3 linked regions of the Arabidopsis thaliana genome follow. The protein of the gene in region 3 interacts with the protein of the main gene of each other region in a pairwise test. Each region holds a gene or a part of one and is shown on either strand. Other genes may lie near its edges. The genes, in order: NDL1, RVE1 and YAB2.

Region 1 (6,218 bases), on a different chromosome or scaffold from region 3:
GGAGCTGGTTCTGTTGTGCTGATTGACGTGCCTTGTCGAGGTACTGCGGTTGGGAATCCGGCGAGACTTGTCGGAGGGAAAGAGAAGCCAACGATTCATGATGAGGAATGTCCTGGAGAATCGATGGATCATACTTCATTCATCTCGGAATGGTCAGATTACATCATATAAAGTTGTTGTTATAATTGTTTCTGTGGTTTTGAAAGTGAAAAACTTTCTGACCATTCGCTTATAGAGAGGTGCTGAGGTAAGTGAGCTTTGTTGTATTTGTAATTTACAAAACATCTTACGATGTTCAATACAAGAAATGGCCTTAATTTGATGTTATTATTCAATCATTAGTTATCCAAGAGTTTATACACTTCTTCTACTTTGTATTCGGGTTTGGCTCGGATTTACACTTGTCTGCATCCATTTTACGGGCTTGACAAACATCGAGGAGCATTGAACTTGTTCAGACTAAGTGAAGCATTCTTCGCCTTTACCCCGGTTCATGAGGGACTATGTTTTCGTCAACCGCAACTAATCCTTATGCGTATCTTATATCAGTATATAACTTACGGCTTCTGCAAAGAAGGATTGGTCTCCATTTCCATTTACAATTCAATTCAGACTAAAAAGTTTCAATCTGATGATCCAAATAGTTCAGGATCAAGACTGTTAAACCATTAAATATCAATATTAAGCAAAAACCAGATTCTAACTTGGTGAAATCAATGTGCTTGTAAGGCCAATTAGAGAACCAAAAACAAAATGCAAAATGAATTTTATTACTTGCTTCTGCAGAGTTCGTCACAAAACAATTGTTACAATGTCACAAGAACAGAACATTTTACATATGTATAAAAAAATGAAATAATAAACAACATTTTGTGGCATCTTAACAAGAGAACTGTCGTGTCGGCTGACTACAAAAGAATGTGTTATATGATGGTGGCTTGAATTTTTCTTCTTCGTCTTCTTCTTCTCAAATCTCCCTAGTATTGTTCTATATCTACAAAAGCCCTAAGATTTCTTCTCCTCAGCAAAATTAGAACCAATGAATCAGTAGTGCACACACACTTAAGCCGCCGAAATTCTGGTTTTGATAGGCTTAAGCTTTAATCCCATGCTTTCAGGAGAGAGAAGCTCAGGTGAAATACAAGAAGGGCTAAGTGGACTTCTAGGGCTCTCGGAGAAAAGAGATGGTCTGTATAATCCGTAACCCATCAAGAAATATTCCATTGGGATCAACATTGCATGTGGTTGCTCCTCTGTTACCATTGAACCACAAGCCTGAACCTGATAATATTTCCAAGAAAACATCTATTAGTAGCAAGAAAACCAAACATGTGTTTATATGTAAAGTACAAAGGATGAGGATTCGTTTTCTCAAACCTCAACCAAAGCACAGTATCCTCTATCCAAAGTTGCTGCCATGTGAACAGCTTCTGAGTAGAAAGGAGATTGATCTCCGATGAAGATAAGTGTCCTGCATTTTAGTTTCTTCAATCCACTTGAGATGTCAGGTCTCCTGCAAGAGCAAAGGTTTGGTTTGCATAAAGTTAAAGAAAAGTCAATATTTGACACCATGAATGAATGAATGCTTCTAAGGTAAAGGATTTCGAGGTGTTTGTTGTGTTACCGGTCAATGGCGTCAAGAAATCGCAAAACGTTTATGCCTTGTCTTTCATCAAGCAGCTGAGACAATCACCAAAAGTGCAAGGTGTGAATCACTGATACAGTAAAATCAATCTATTGATGAAACAGAAAAACAACAGAAGAGATAAACACTGACTCTTCTGCAAGCTTGTGCTATATCTGACTCTGGAATCTCAACGTTACCACGGACTTCCTGTAGCAAGCAGTTGCAACCGGTTTAAATAAGAGAAGTCTGGAAATGCAACAAGTGCAGAGAGAGAGCAATGGTAACTGCAGTGAACACACCTTACTAAAATATCTCTGAAGCAAAAATTCCTTTACCACTCCACACATTCCGTAATAATATAACAAGTTTGTGATAACCTTGTTGTAAAACCATTCAGACCAAGACGGCGCCTTGCATAACGGTGAGACAAGAATCAAACCAAGAACCCGTTCTCTATGTTTCATCTGAAAAGTTTTAAAACATAGAAGAGATGATAAACACAGTATTCTTCTGAAGCAATGGGCAATGAGAAGAGAAAAATAAATAGGAACATACCGCGAATAAGGTGAGGATATAAGCACCTGCAGTCACTCCCATACACATCACAACACCAAGGCTGAACAAAAAGCTTATACATTGTTACCCGAAAAACAAAAGTTGAGAACTTCAATAAGCCAAAAATAAGGGATTCCATCGTTACCCGAAAAAGTTGAGAACTTCAAGGATCTGATCTGCCAAGTTTTCAGCAGAAGGGACTGAATCATTAGGACAAATTGGAGCAGCTCCTAACTGCAAGAAAACAGAGAAGTCATGTGAGTAAGTAATCACGTCAAGCAAAGCATACGGCAAGTTAAAAAAAGAGAAACTAAAATATTGGACCTCATGCCCAGGTGGACTGATATGGTAAATGCAGAAGTTATGAAGCAGCAATGAAGCTGCTTCAGGACAGAAGAATAACCCTTGGAAGCATGACATATCTGAAGAAGAAACAACAAAAACATTAATAAATTTAGCCATTACATTAGTGCCTATAGAGATTCTTTAGCCTTACGGTTTAGGGCTAAATCAGGATAAGTAATCAATGCTGGCTTTTCTCTGTCTCCATAGACAATGACAGACACAACACCACTAGCAGTTTTAACACGATGCTCCTGAACACAAGAAACCAACAAGTTATAACAAAAGTAACGGATCATGAAACCAACAGAAAAAAACTAAACTTTTAACCATACCATTTGTCTACTCCATATTCATAAAACATGTGTTTGTAAACAATGAATCTATTTTCTCGTTAGTAAATGTATACTAAAGATAGGAATATGACAACTGACTTTAGGTGGAAAAGAAATGCTTTGATTAACACACACACAAAAAAGAAAACATCTCTGTTAAAGCTTTTCCATGTGCAGCTTTACTACTTTTAAGGGCAAAAAAACAAAACCAAAAACTTGATCATCAACAACCAAAGAGAAATGGCCTAATTCTAATCATTGTGGTTTTTTTTTAATAAAAAGGGAATGACAGTTTAAAAAAGATGAGCTAATATGAGTCTTAATGAGATAATAAAGAAGCATTAGTCTTATTAAACAAAAGGTTAATGGTAGACAAAAACAGCTGGCATTTTCTTTTCTTTTTTCTATAAGATAAAAAAATCAAAAGGCAATAAGACAAAGAATAAGGAATACAAAATAATAATAAGAAGAAGATATCTTTGAATAGAGAGAAGAAGAAGATCCCAAGAATAATCCCATCTGGAAATGAATCATAATAATAAAAGAAGTTTCACAAATCCACAAGCAAAGAATTTCTCCAAGAACATTTGATTCAAACAAAAGATGAGTCTTTTTTTTACAAAAACAAATGAATCTAACAATGCCCACATGTCTGTTCTTCCCCAAATCAACAGAAAGATTAGATTTAAGCAAGTTTAAGATAAACCCAGAAACAAAAATCAAAGCTTTATTCGGATCCGAGTTCAAAGGTTAAAGAATGAAACCTTGCCACCAAGATAGATTGTTCCAACGTCGACGGAGACGGCGCCGTAAGAGTCCGTCATTGGCAACAAAAGCTCTTCCGCTTAGCCGTCACCGTCGCCGTCGTTGTTTTAAGAACGCCGGGATAACAAGAGCTTCTTCTCTTTTCTTCTTCTTCTTCTCCCAACCTCTAGATTGTTTTTTGGCTTTTCTTTAGCTTATATACAAAGCGATGCCTTTTCTCTCTCCTCTCTCTTAAGACCTCTCTGGAAAAAGAAACGTTTTTTTTTCGTTTTCCTTTTTTTCTTCTCTTTCGTTTTACTCTCTCTATAAATTTTGCGGTGATTTCTCCATAGACGCCGGTAGTCGTAACATGACACGCGAACGGTCAAAAAACTTAAAATAAGAAACATTTTTAATTTGATTTATTTATAGAAACTTATTTTTGATAAATATTATTAACCAGCTCGAATTTCACCAATAACAGTCGAATACTAATTCGGAAAAATTGCTGTAAATAAATTGGATAATTGTATAAATGTAAACAAATATTAAATGTTGATAATTGGATAAGTAAGGGAGGTGCGAAGTTTTGGTTAACAACAAAATTAACATTAAGCAAACCGAATATAAATTTTTAGAGACTGTTTAGTTTTATTATTAAAAAAAAAAAGAGAAACCAAATTTTCTAAAAATACTATTACATATAAAAAATTATTTTTATGTAATAATATTAAGAACATCAATATTTAATAAACAATTGTATATTTATACTATTCGCAATTTTTTCACTTTGAGTTGGAAAAAATATATCTTAGTAGAAAATTAGAAATGGACTAATCTTAAACCATCAGATAGGCTTTCAAACATATTCCTATCATAAGAAACATGATGAGTAACACCACTATCTATGATCCATGTATTTTGTGATAACACTTGTCTAGAGGACGTTAGAGAACATAGTAACCATAAAGTCGAAGGTGAGAAAGAGATATCATTGAAAGCAAAACTTTGAAGTGACCAAATCTGCTGAGTTAGCTGATAAGACCTTGGCAAATTCGTAATGTGAAATCTAGTATCCAAGTCTTTCCAGATCTCTGCAGCATCATTGAAACGAAGTATACTCTTATAGATCTGCTTTGTAACAGAATTAAGGATCCTAGATTTAACCATACTGTTGCATCGTGACCACACTCTAAAGCTAGGATCAGATTCAGGAGGTCTTGGTAAAGTTCCATCAACAAAAGCAATCTTATTCTTAACGTTCAAAGAAACAAACATCGCAATCTTCCAAGAAGAGAAATTAGATCCATCAAGTACCTCAGAAACAAGTGTATTCCCAGGACTCACCATTTGAGAGCGCGAATGGCGAATAATGAGCATCCGAGAAGTCGAACTGTGGTAAAGGATAGATCGATGGTTTTGAATTGAAATTTTGTTGAAACGGATTCGAAATTGGTGGAATCGGTGGAATCGGTGAAGCTTGAACACGATCTGGAGTTTTCTCAGCTGAAGTTTTGCTCGATCTTCTAGTACGACGCCGCAATTTCTCTACGGAAACCATCGCAAGATCAACGAAGCTCTAAACAACTGAAATTTTCCAGAAAACGTAGAAAATTGAAGAAACAAAGAATCAACGAGTTTGGAAGATCCAAGAGCTCGAAGATACTCAGAGTTTAGGTTGAATCGGATGAATCTTCGAGATCCATCACTCTGATACCATAATAGTTGATGAACGAATTCAGAGAAATGAAGAAGATGAGAAAAATTTGTTATTCTTCTTAATTGTTCTGTTACATGAAACACTCTTTATATGTAGAGTGTTCCGGTTTAGTAACCGGTTTACATTGTACCAAACAACAATACAATAACCGAATTTATGGTTAATATCTTAAGTTAGACCTATTTCAAAACAAGCCTAATTTTCACAATAGTCAATTTTTTGTTGTTGAATATTTGGCCGAGAACTAGACTTCAATAATGGGGAAGAATAACTAAAATCGGTTCTTTCTCCTCTCCCAAAGTCAACTAGATTCACCAAGAATAACTAACTTTGGTTAATGATTACATGTTCTTAAAGTTATGGATCTTTTGGGAAAAATGGACTATTTGGCAAAAAGAGTGGCAAAAAGAGTGTGAACATAAAAAATACAAATGGGGCGTTCCGAGAATCGAACTCGGGACCTCTCGCACCCAAAGCGAGAATCATACCACTAGACCAAACGCCCTCATTTGATATTTCGTTAATTAGATAAATAATACCTAATAATACAAACTTGAATTGGTCTTGCATTTGGGCCGTTAACAGGCCTTGCTAAGTCATATGTGGTGTGTATTTCTCCATCTGCTATTGATCTCAGTAAAAATTACATAAAGAGAGCCACAAGCTTACTGACTCTCTTGTGTATCGCTCTCTCCGCATTTCCATTAACCCTCCAATTTTCCCGCCTTTGTCTCACTCTCTTCCCGCCTTGCACTCGCCGGGGACTCCATGGTTCAGAAGCAGCAAGCCTCCGCCGGTCCGGGTACCGAGCCTAAGAAGCGTCGCCGTGTCGGATTTTCTCCCGCCGGTGAGTCATTTCTTCTTCTTGTTTGTTTTCCTTTACTCGCGATTACCA
Region 2 (5,522 bases), on a different chromosome or scaffold from region 3:
AGGAGGAGCAGGGTGAGAAGCGACGTCGGATTTGTGGAGATGAATCTGCAGAGGAATTGCTCCTTCCCATACATACTTGACCGCTTCCTTCGCCATTCTCTTCCCCGTCACACCTTCTCACGCTCGCTCGCTTCACAAAAAAAACTCAGCTTTCAAAACGACGCTGTTTCTGTATGACGTCATCTTCTCTTGCGTCTTTATGTGGTATTAATAAGGCGTACGTTAGACACTGCTTAATCTGTTGGTGGCTAACGTGAAAGGGTGTTAACCGGTCTAATTTGGTCTGGTCAAATTCTATCAAAATTTCAGGTTAGAGTTGGTTTCCGAATCGGTTCGGTTATTTGTTGGGTTTGAACTTTGAACACACACTTGTTCAGTTGGTGGTAACCTCACTGTTTTTCTTCTTTGCCTTCATTTCAAAGCAAACTCTTTACCAAACCTAATTTAATCGGAGATATTGAAGAGAGACACCTGAAACTTGCTTTTGTTGAACCATCAATTAAGAAAGATCTCATAATCATTAGATTTAACTGTATAAATTGTACACGAGTTTTACAGTTACAAACTTTTGCAGAAAATTTTAGCCTAGAGAACAAACACCTCAAGAGAAAACAATGAAACAACAACAAAAATTACATTGATGAAAACTTAGAAAGTCGAATGAATAGTAAATTTAAAGTCTCTTCTTTAGGGTACGTAAGAAAATGTGTTATAAGTGGAGATGAATCTCATGCTCTTCTTCTTCTGTTACCATCTTTCTCTTCTTGTATGGACCAAATCCTCTTGAATTTGACTCGGAGTTTGTTCTTCTGAGCTCAGAAAATGCAGACCTCTCACTTGGTTTAAACTCCCATTGACATAGCATTGTTTCGGGTTCTGTGGTCTTTTCCGTGTGTCCCGTATCATCCACCGAACCAGTGTTTGATCCAGTCGATGATCCTTCGTTTTGGACAGCCTTTCCTGAATCCAAACATCTATTTTCCACATCTTCTTGCTTAAGAGGGACTTGTATCCAGCAGCTCAAGAGTTCTTCTTGTGAGTTTCTTATTATGGGTAGTGTCTTGGATGATGAGAGTTTCCGTGGTAATGGCTGAATTGGGGATTTACAATATGTTGAAGTTGTTAGAGAAGAGGACATGCCTGAATCAGATACCAAAACTGTCTTCCCAAAGAGTTTAAGACTTTGCTTCGTTGGTTCCTTGATCGAGCTCTCCCTGTTTAAGAGTCTCTCACTAGGAAACAACTCCAGCTTCTGTACAAATTGATTAAACCAAGAATATTAAGCATTAAGCATCTAACAGCAGGTATTGCTGTTAAGTATAAATTCGGTTTTGTTTATGTCAAGTACCAGAGTCTCAAGCTCTTCAGGTGCATTTGCAGTGGTTGTAAGAGCAGCTGGTGGTGATGCAGAAGAAACTGGGGACAAGCTTCGATTGGGTGAACTCGAATCAAGGGAACACAATGCTTCTGATCCAACAGTGGACAACACAGAGGTTGGAGATTGAGTATCACGTTCTGAGGGAGAAACCGATCTACTTGTTTGATCTGCCTCGTTCCCAAACTTACGAGGGTACGGATGCGCTGGCTTTCTCTTGGGACGAGGAGGAGGTATTACAATCGGCTCTACTGAGCTCCCATCACCTCCAGTTGCTTCTCGAGCAACCTGTGTGAATACAACAGAACAAAGCCAAGTCAGAACACAAGTCTCCAAACAATGTATGTATAATGATTCCTTATTTATGCAGAACTTAGGTTTGCTACAGAGATTAGACTGATACTTTCTTTGAACAAGGGTAAAGATATAATAGCAAATAAGTGTATAAACCTTAGAGAAAAACTTCTGAGCATGGCTTCGAATCTGAACTGCGGTCTTTGAGCCCACATGTTCTGTTAGTGAAACAAACATATATTTTTGAGGGTCCAGGTAAGGCCATAACTCAGTAGCAAGAGATATTACTAAATCATTAATTTACCTTCTATTCGTCTCCAAGCTCGCCCGTATAATTTCAAGGCTTCAACAAACTTCTTGTGCTCTTCATCTGTCCATCTCTCTCTCTCTTTTGTTATCGTGTATGGCTTCCGTACCTAAGTAAGAAAAGATGAACTGAGCCACAGATCTTCACTTTACATAACAATATTTGACATTTGATGTTAAAAGAAACAAACCTTGGGTGCATAGTCATTTCCCCCAAAACTTTGGTCATTGAATTGTATCTGCTTGTCTGCAGTTTCTTCATCTCTATTCCTCAAAGAAGCGTTGGTACCCTAAAGCCATCATCAAGCAAAACGACTTTAGGAAACATCATTTTAAGGACTATGACACAAAGTGGCATTGGATTATTTACTTTCTTCTTCAGTTTCTCAATGAACATTCATTCACAAAGTCCAACTAATTAAACTCGATTTACATATCCTAATCACAAAATTCCAACACAGTCGATTCCATCTCAAGGATTCAAATGAATGTAGTTGCAACACACAAATCTAGAGAGAACTTATAGCTCAAAAGAAACAAGAGTCTGCAAATGAATTGCAACGAACTTGCTTTAACTCTAAGCTTTATTACTTAAATGTCCGTATACAGTATTTTAAACTCATAGATTCATTTGAGACCAGACCTGAATAAAGCAGAAACAAAACAAAAAAAGTGGATAAAAATCAAATTTTGAGACCAGACCTGAACATTTGCAGTCAACGGAGACGACGCCATAACTTCCCGGATTAAGATCTCGGCGGAGGAAAACAAAAAAAAACTCGAAAGGTGTGGAACACAGAAAAGGAAACACCAAGATAAATTCGCGAATCTAGACTTGAAAAAATCAGCTTAATTTCCTCTGTTCTCCGTCTGTTTCTATAGATCCCATAAATTGATTCGGTTTACTTAGGCAACAACAAACGATTTGCTTCTGAAATCAGAACCAATCTAAGCTTCCACCTTCCGGAAAAAAAACTTCCAGCAAACCAGAGATTTCTTATGTTCGATAAAGGAAAAGAGAAAAAAACTCTCGCTGGAAATCTTGCCGCAAATAAGGATAAGAAGAAGGTCGGAAATGAAACTCTCAGAGAAACTCCGAGAAGTTTTGGTAGCCGGAGTAAAGAAAAAGACAAGCTTTCTGATTCGGCGGAAGAAGAAGAAAACAGAGAGAAAGAAGAAGAAGAGAAGAGTTTGGGGTCTGTGAAGGAGGAAGAAGGGAATTAGGGGGGTGAGAAAATAGGGAAGACAAAAAGGAGGGTGATGCCACGTCAGCTTCTGCTATGTGCGCTTTTTCCCAATTTTTAAAAAATAAAAATAATAATTCTTATTGGTTTTCCATGGAACGCTCGAGAAACAGATGGAAAATCTTGTGGCTCACGTTCAATGTCCATCTTTGCCACGTGTCGCTCTTTCTCATATTCTTCATCTTCTTTTTTTGCAACAAAATTTGTACTAGATTTATTCATTTATCTCTTTGAAAAATCAAATATTTAATTTTTTAAAATGAATCTACTTGTTTTAAAACAGTTAGATTTGGTACTTCGATTATCACTGTATGTATTTATTTAATTCCCCTACTTTTCCTTTCCTTTTTTGACATCATTTCAATTGGATAATCTTTTAATATAAAATATCAGGAAATATAATATTTATGTAACAAAAAAGATTTTGCTGGACGGAGAAATGTGAGCCACCAGAAGATACTTTTAAAGGAAAATATGGAAAGGCGTACTCTCGAGAGTATGACTTCTTAGCTTACTCGCTTTTCATTGGTTCCACTACATGAGATAAAAATGTAAATTTGCGGGATAAATTCATTTTCTTTTCTTAACTATATCTCTATTGATCCATATATGGGTGGACATATTCCAAAATTTATGATTGGTTCTTTGGATCCGGATCCATAGGATTTGTTTGCGGAACCATCCAAATCCATATCTATCAAAAATACTTCAAAATAATTAAAACAGTAATATATAAAACTATAATAAATAAAAAGTTAAAAATATATTTTGATTTATTTACATAAACTCTTTATGAAAATATTTATTAGGGTATTTTAAAAAGCTACATATGAAAACATATCCGAAGTGGATATCTTAATCAAAATCAAATTATTCGAATTCGAAAACTCTTAACATTTTATTTTTGGACCAGATCAGAAGATTTTATTATACACTTTGTCCAATCTTAGAAAACATAGTCTATCCATTTTTTATTTTGTGGGGTTCTACTCTTTTTTCTCCATTCTTCCATATATGAACACAATATTTGATAGTAAATTTATATATAAATTATAACCATCATAATATCTAAATTCAGATTTTAAAAAAGATTTCTGTCTAAACACATTTTTGCAGGACACTAAAATGGTTTATTTTATGAAATGAGATCCACAAAATGGGTTATTCAAATTTGGACTGATATTAAGATTTGTTGATGATGCTTCTATACTAGCAATAGCAAGCCTCATACAAATGCAATTGATAACGTATCCTACCATGATTCCGATATACATATAAAATTTGGACCTCTAAATTTTCCTATATTCTTTTTCATGTCAAACTTATATGTTTAGTTGGGAAAAATATTGCACAGAATTTTACATAGTTGAAATGGTTTTGAATCACAATCTAAATAAATGAAATTCCAAAATCAAGTGAAAGTAGAATGAGATACTATTTTTGGTTCTTTTTCGTTTTGTCGTTGTCTTTGTTTCATATTTTACGAAAAAACGAAAACCATAAGTTAAATATCTTCTGCCTCTATATAAAAACATGGTGGGGGTCTATCCATAACGTAAGTCTACGTATACATACCATATAATATAATATATACAGATACGAATCTATCTATGATATTTATAATTAGTTTCAACTTTCTCGAATTAATATGATTATCCATCGTCCAGGTCGTCATCAATTTTCACAAATGTGTAGATATTTTATTGAAATCATTGTTAAGCACATAATTTAATATACTCCTCAAATTGTAAAAGTCATCCTCGGTGGAAGTGAAAGTAATTACACTTTAATTTATAATATAGTACTAATACTAATAATTAGTGAATGTCAGTGCACTTTTCTCCATGTCACTGATTCTTATTTTAGCCGTCTGTTCTACAGAAACTTGACATGTGGAATGACGAGAAGGAGGGTTCTAGCCACTAGTTTTCTTTTTATTTGTTTCTTATTCATTTTATTCACGTTCACTGATAATACAACAAAATTTCTCAGCCACAAGAATTCCTTCTCGTTCTTTACTTAGGGTTTCAAATATCAGAAAGTGGTTGGTGTGTGGCTGTTGTCTACTTAGAGTATTTGTTTTTGTCATCTCTTATAAAAATATTTGTTATTACCATATTTTCTAATGCAATAAAATCCAAACCTGTAGTGGAAATCACATTTATCTAATGTAACAATCATTAGTGAAAAGAAAATCCAAATTTTTTAAAAACAGATGAGAACATGTTCAAAAAATATTTAAGCGATTAGGATTTAGGAGGCGTAAGACGTGAAAAAGATAAAATAACAGATAACAATTCAGG
Region 3 (6,829 bases):
TCACACATTGGAGACGACCCCACTTCTCTAACCCTTCGTCGGGAGTGGTGGATATACGATCTCTACGAGATGCTTATCATTAAACATAGCCACCAGCTGCGGAGTTAGTGTCCATTTTGGACAAATAGAAAATGAAGTTATAATTAGTACGTAATACTGAATAGAAATTTGATGTTGACGTGAAAACTATAGTGATTGCTATTTGGTCTAAATGCTTGAGTCATTTTTTCCAAAGTGGCATTCTTTTAGCAAAAGTTGACCACAGCTATACAACAAAATATCTATAGCATTACTTTTATAATTGCTATTCTGCATTACATTTAATCAAAAGAGACAACGTTTTTCTTATAATATTCAGTAGTCACTTAAAAGAGTTCATATACGATAATATTTTATCTTTTAAGAGAATGCATGGTTTATGTAGACCACATACTACAAAAGTTTCACAAAACGAGTATGCGTTGACAAAGTCAAATCGCCCATGTTATTAAAACAACCCATGGTTTCGATTCGAATCTTGATAACGATCACTGCAAATTAATACACGACCGAACTGGTAGTTATATATCATAGACAAATAATAGCTCATTATGTACCATTTTTCCCCCATAAAAATGTGCCTACCGTCGAGAAAAAATTATATTTTTGTCAAATTCGCATCATTGATGTAAAACGGTATCGACCAAAACTAGACCGTCCCGTTTCACGCTGCTTATGATTTTCTTTGAAATAGTGAGCCGATCAGCAGCATAAAAGTGTGACATATTATTAATCATGATACTCAACCGGATTATGAGTTTTGTGGCTGACAAGAGAAGACACGAGCATTGATTTCTCATTGATTAAAAAAAAAGTATTAAAAACAACCCAAGTGAACTATTCATTGGAAGCCTTTGCTTTTTGCAAAGAATGTTTCTTTGGAATGAGTGAGTTTCAGAATTATCTCAGCACCATAAAAGTTACCATTTTATATCCCAAGATGGAATTTATATATCTTTTACTACTCACTCTATGTATATACATGTGCTTCTATGTATACACAAACTCTATATATCCATGAAATTGATAAAGAATCAATCAATTTCCACATACATCCCCCTTTAACCTCAGGTATTATCAACAATAATTACCATAAAACTAGGGATTATATATATAAAGTCGTGACCACACCTTTTCAGAATGAGTAAAGTTGAAATTTATATTACAATCTTCAGAAAGAAGATTCTTCCTAAACATTTTAGGTTCAAATTTATAGACTTCACTTATTAGGAGAATAAAACTAGAAATGAAGTTATAGATGAAGCACACGCAAGAAAAAAGAAAGGAACATATATACATACATGTATATATATGTAACGTTATATGATCTTCTTCTTCCTCGCCTGATCTCTTTCCATCATCAGCTCTCTGCTTACACATTCATTAATGCGTACGTACAAAGATAAACATAAATCATACACACGCATATATATCTATACACATATATATACGTATAAGTGTATATATGTGTGTATATATATAAAGGCTTTAGTAATAGCCATTAGACTTTTGGCCTGCAACTGACTGGTCTAATTGCTTGCCTTTCTTGTTGCCATCCAGCTTTAATCCAAAGTGAATGTGAGGAAAATGTGCCCACTACACCCAAAAATTGAAAGGCAAATTTATTTTTAAAAAACATCTAATACTGTGATATATAAACATTCCACCAATTATAAATAGTAGAACCACTATCTTATTGGTATACATACACACTTATATTTTCAAAGAGAGTGACCAAGCCCTAGAATTCTCCCACCACAGTTATTTCAATTAGTTGGTACTAATTATTGCAAACAAAAAAAACTACTATCCAATCATGTGTTCGTATATCATTTTTTATTTATTTACTTGTTAGGTTATTTAAAAAGATAATAATTTATTTTATTTTTTAAATAGTTAAGAAATACATTTTACAGAGTTATTGAATCTAAAAATACAGTATTAAAAGACTTTATAACTTTAGTTATTTTTTTTTTTCATTTTTTTTTGCATCTTCTTCCTAATTCTATATAATTCTGACATCGTCGATGAAGCTACGATAAGGATTTTTTTTTTTTTTGAGCTATCTTAGCAACAATCTACCTTGTGAAAAAGAATGGTAAAGAAGGAAGCTTACATTTTTAGCAGCAGTGCTAAATGCCTCACGGTGGCTAATCTCTGGATTGCAAGCCTTAATCCTTTGGATTTCCTCCCTAATTAACAATTTAGTTTATTAAAGTTGTAGCGAAAGAGTTAATTAGTATATTTCATCAAAGGATTAACACTTACTTGATGAATCTGTTGTAGGCCGAAGGAACACGTTGTCTTTTCTCCGGTGCTGCCACATGAAAATAAAAGAAAATTATGGACTCACTTAGCTTGGTGATTGCATATATTACACAAACTTTAAATACTATGTACGGAATGCAAGAGGTAAATAGAGAGACATACGGCGAATAGGAGGCATTCTAGGAGCCTCACGATCAATGTTTTCCGATAAATTGTTGGTGCTCCTAGAAGACGATGCACAATCTTTCCTTGTCACCAGAGAGGTTGTGTGCTGTCTATGAGGCTTCATGATTTCAAAAACTATATAAGCCAGATTTCTAAATGGGAATAATAAAAATGTTGAAGGACTAATGAATATAATATGATACCTGAAGATCTTGGTGAATGGGAGGAGCTGAGGTTTGATGAAGTGAAACTCCAATGTTGAGGGATAGCAAATTGGTACAATGGCCACATCTCACCGTCACAAGTGTGAACAAACTTGCGTATGGTACACTTACCTAATCATTCATACATGTCTTGATCATTATAAGGGACACGTTAATTGTCTTGTTTTATCACTATTTTATAATTCGAGTGGCTGGTCTCTAATGTAACGAGAGCTCTTGAGAGAGAATGTTAAGTACTACTCCATTATAGGCTATAGCACACCTTGTTTTTGGTTAATTGTAGATTTCCTATTTCCTATGTAAAGATAGTCCTATAGATTTTTATCACATGAAATAGAAAATAGTAACCTTATAGAAGTATTACCACAACTAATATTCGAACAAACAAATGATCAAATTTAACATATATAAAAGAATATGTATTTTTCTGTTTGGTGGGTTCTGATGAATTCTATGTCTGACACACAAGACCTCAAGGCAACATGATAAAAGATAGTAAAGAGATGAAGAATGGTTGATGAAGCTTGTAAGGAGAAGACAGTCATGTTAGAAAACGACGTGACCTTAACAACAGCCCATAAAGTCCTTCATATGTGATGGTACCATCTTTTTATTATAATCGTCTTATATTTTTGTGTGTGAGCGAGAGAGAGAGAGAGAGAGAAAGGATCCAATCCTAAGTGGTCAAGATCGGCCATGATTTAACAGTTTGCAGCTTTTGTATAGATCAAGAAATTGTTGCTGGAACTGGGTAGAACAAATCTTTTGTACTTTCCACTACAATACACACCCTATTTTGTGCAAGAAGACCTCTAACATTTTTATTAAATATGGCCCTTTTTGTTCCTAATCAGACTCGTGCGACATCTCCATTATTTATGTATATGTAGTATAACGTTTATGAATAATATCAGTGTACAAGAGTTTCTCATGATAAACTTTTTTTTTTTTAATTTGTCTAAACGCTAAACCATTAAGCTACATAACCTAGCTAGTTAGTTTCTCATGATTACTTAATTATATGGATCATAGATCAATAATTTATATACACACACATATAGATAGACGTATATCACTGATACACACATATCAAAAATGTACGGAAGAACTGTGGATATTATTAAATGTCACATAAAACCGTTAGATAAAGCTGGAGATAATTAGTGAAGTTTTAAGTAAATTTTAAAATCATATACATGTAATAAAATAGCTTCAGCACACTGTGAGAAACATAAAAAGAGAATTTTGGAGAACCCAAAAAATGATTTTAAAATAATCAGCTGGTGATGTGATGTAAACATTTTTACATGGACCACGCTTGTAGATGAAAGATCTATGATTGATATGATATAAGTATAATACATGTGTCACATACTACAGTTATACATATCAAAAGATTAGATAGTATGAAGTCAGACTATAAAGGTGGAAGACCCTAGTGAAAGTTTAATTTTGAGACTGCATCACATGGATGCTATCTACCAAATTCCTTTTACAGAAAATATTAATGGCTGTTGAAACTTAGGGAACTAACACCAAAGAAAATATGAATATACAAGAGTAAAAAATGAAGGATTTACTTGTAAAGAGAAGAAGAAAAAATGTCCTTAAAACGAAAATAAAAATAAAAATTCTTTAAATAGTAAAAATAGGGAAAGAAGAAGTTATCTTTGTAGACTTAAAACCTACTCATAGAGCCCTAAATCTGATCAGGAGCTGTTTCCTTTGAGTTTACTTTGTTTGAGCACTAAAATTTATGTTTCAACTACCGAACTTCTTTTGCTTCTTTTAGGTATCTCATCACGCGTTATAGAAGAAAAAAAAGGAATAAGATTTAGGGTTTCTGAAATTTAAGAAACTTTCCGGTATATATATCTTCATCAATAATTAATCACAGAAAAGATATATGTTGATCTATGAACTAGATGCAAAATTCATCATGCAATACACATATAGATATATCACCAACCATCTTTGATAGGTAAATAATATATATCTTATATAACAGTTTGATTTAAGTTAGAGAAAAGGGGATCTAGCTCAGAGTAAGTACCAAATTAACACTCTTTCTTTTGAGAAAGATTTACAATATAAAGAGGAGAGGGAGATTACCGCTAAAATCGTGGTGCAGAAGCTGCAGTGGACATAGCAAACACGCTCAGATGAGAAATCTACAGACATTTTTTTTTGTGTGGGTTCTCTCTTCAATGATATGTTTCTCTTCTTGAAACTTTTAGTTATCCCAATGAGATCAAAGAAGGAACTATTTGATTTTGGAAGAATAAAATAAAAAGAAAAGGGCAAGCAAAGAAGAAAGAGGAAGGATGAGAGAGAGAGAGAGAGATGGGTGGGGGATGAAGGAAGTGTACAAAAAATCTGAAAAGACTAATGTGGTTTATTTGGAGACGAAGAGAGACAAGTGGGGACTATACTACAATGTTCCTCTTTTTTATTTTTCGGTACTTGCATTTTTTTTTCCTTAGATAATTAGAGAGTTCTATTACTCCATAATAAAGTGAAGATTTCCCTTTGTTATTTTTATTGTTTTTTCATCTTTAGTTAAGATATATAGTCCTATCACCAAATAAGTTAATTTCAATTACATTTTTATAGGATAAGTAGTAGGCTAGTAGCTCAATATATAATCTTATTGTTACAGTCATTTTACAATGAATAGTACTAGATCATGAGAATGTGTATTGTATTTGTCTAGCAGATAAGAAATGAGATTAACAGTTCGATTAAATTTTGTTTTTTCAAACACATATCTGAAAACGATACATGGACTTTGTTAGCAGCAACAGTAAATTTAGTAAAACGATACAGTTTGTGAATTCAGGGACAATTGAAAACGATACATAATCCTCTTCAGAATCAAATAAAACATATTGCAAGTGACAATGATGGTCTATTTTGTGAATAAGTGATTAACAGTATAAAACGAAAGATGAATTCATTTTGGCATTTTCTGCAAACTTAAACATGTTCATTGGATTGGTGTAATTACTTGAAATTGAGTTTTTAAAGTTCATTAAAATCCCATTCATTCTGCAAGTGAACATAGATGTACATTTTAGATTGAGTGTGGATCAACAAAACGACATTTATTACTGGTTTAATTTTTAATAATTTATTTCATAATATAGATGTTTCATTGTTTTGTATTTGTATTTGTATTTGCAATGCAATTTCCTATTTTGTCTTTATTAACCTTTTACCAAAAATAAAATAAAAAATAAAGCGAATAAACTAATTGAACACATCTAAAGTATTTGGAATCAATGCAACAAACATTTCTTACAAAATGATTCATATAAACAAGTTTCTTTCGAACAAATCATAGAGACGAGAATACAGATCTTATCCTGACATATTTCCACGATCGAGGTTGACATGCATTTTTTACGGACCCGCGAGCTATTCTCTCTACAGTGATACTCACGACAATGCCAATCTTATTTCCAAGCTTGATTTGATTGTATCTGGAATATATTTATAAAATCTCTTTCTGCAAAATTATTATTCTGTCACAAAAAATTTGGGTTCTTCTAGTCTAAACCTAACTAGTTGTTAAAAAAAAACTCAAAAAACAAAGTCGGATCGTGTGAATAAGTTTTCATACAAAAGATAGTTTGATCAACAAGTATTTTGATATATACGGTTTGACCTGATTGATTTGGATCTGTGTTCCAAAAGGTCACAAGACAACGAGGAATAACATAAACTCATTCATACGTCCCATTTTCAAGTTCCTCTGAGAAATGGAACAAATTCGGTGTGATATGTTTTGATTGACTCCACAGCAGCAACAGCATTAGCTTCTTCTTCGGGATAATAAGCGATCGGATCAGATAGATGCGGTTCTGGAATCTTCAGCACCCCTTCGAGCATGGCGTGGAGGCAGTAAGCTGCATATGTTACATGATACCCGCCTTCTTGCACCATAAGCAACCTTCCATGGCTGTGCTCCTCTGCAACTCCCCTCATTATCTGCCCAATCCTTCTGTATCCATTCATTGTCAGGCTTTGTCTCCCGTTTGGATCAAACTGCAGATCCGACAGTAAATAGTGGTTATCCGTCAGTCCATGACATTCAAATCCCCTCACAAACTAGACAATCAGCATCCCTAGCA

Evidence for each region.
Region 1: the proteins of YAB2 (region 3) and NDL1 interact in a two-hybrid assay, tested with the Arabidopsis thaliana proteins (one large-scale study listed by BioGRID).
Region 2: the proteins of YAB2 (region 3) and RVE1 interact in a two-hybrid assay, tested with the Arabidopsis thaliana proteins (one large-scale study listed by BioGRID).

The regions. Positions count from the first base shown.
Region 1 is NC_003076.8:22,955,451-22,961,668, reverse strand, and holds NDL1 (N-MYC downregulated-like 1), read right to left. Parts: upstream 4,041-6,218; 5' UTR 3,684-4,040; coding exon 3,624-3,683; intron 3,161-3,623; exon of another isoform or gene 2,863-3,160; coding exon of another isoform or gene 2,860-2,862; intron 2,779-2,859; coding exon 2,679-2,778; intron 2,605-2,678; coding exon 2,507-2,604; intron 2,417-2,506; coding exon 2,328-2,416; intron 2,244-2,327; coding exon 2,183-2,243; intron 2,092-2,182; coding exon 1,927-2,091; intron 1,835-1,926; coding exon 1,778-1,834; intron 1,681-1,777; coding exon 1,625-1,680; intron 1,514-1,624; coding exon 1,378-1,513; intron 1,282-1,377; coding exon 1,063-1,281; 3' UTR 753-1,062; downstream 1-752. Other genes in the region: SERAT1;1 (serine acetyltransferase 1;1), read left to right, coding at 1-171; HAG2 (histone acetyltransferase of the GNAT family 2), read left to right, coding at 6,092-6,170. UniProt on the Arabidopsis thaliana protein: Interacts with the heterotrimeric G protein beta subunit GB1 and plays an significant role in GB1-dependent regulation of lateral root formation. Involved in a signaling pathway that modulates root auxin transport and auxin gradients.
Region 2 is NC_003076.8:5,689,726-5,695,247, forward strand, and holds RVE1 (Homeodomain-like superfamily protein), read right to left. Parts: upstream 3,268-5,522; 5' UTR 3,200-3,267; coding exon of another isoform or gene 2,975-3,199; 5' UTR 2,711-2,974; coding exon 2,678-2,710; intron 2,266-2,677; coding exon 2,167-2,265; intron 2,086-2,166; coding exon 1,974-2,085; exon of another isoform or gene 1,907-1,973; coding exon of another isoform or gene 1,888-1,906; coding exon 1,826-1,887; intron 1,664-1,825; coding exon 1,349-1,663; intron 1,253-1,348; coding exon 710-1,252; 3' UTR 501-709; downstream 1-500. Other genes in the region: autophagy protein Apg5 family, read right to left, coding at 1-96; AT5G17305 (uncharacterized protein), read left to right, coding at 2,975-3,199. UniProt on the Arabidopsis thaliana protein: Morning-phased transcription factor integrating the circadian clock and auxin pathways. Binds to the evening element (EE) of promoters. Does not act within the central clock, but regulates free auxin levels in a time-of-day specific manner.
Region 3 is NC_003070.9:2,674,081-2,680,909, reverse strand, and holds YAB2 (Plant-specific transcription factor YABBY family protein), read right to left. Parts: upstream 5,098-6,829; 5' UTR 4,878-5,097; coding exon 4,809-4,877; intron 2,808-4,808; coding exon 2,676-2,807; intron 2,591-2,675; coding exon 2,470-2,590; intron 2,357-2,469; coding exon 2,308-2,356; intron 2,232-2,307; coding exon 2,156-2,231; intron 1,636-2,155; coding exon 1,528-1,635; 3' UTR 1,086-1,527; downstream 1-1,085. Other genes in the region: HDA08 (histone deacetylase 8), read right to left, coding at 6,441-6,743. UniProt on the Arabidopsis thaliana protein: Involved in the abaxial cell fate determination during embryogenesis and organogenesis.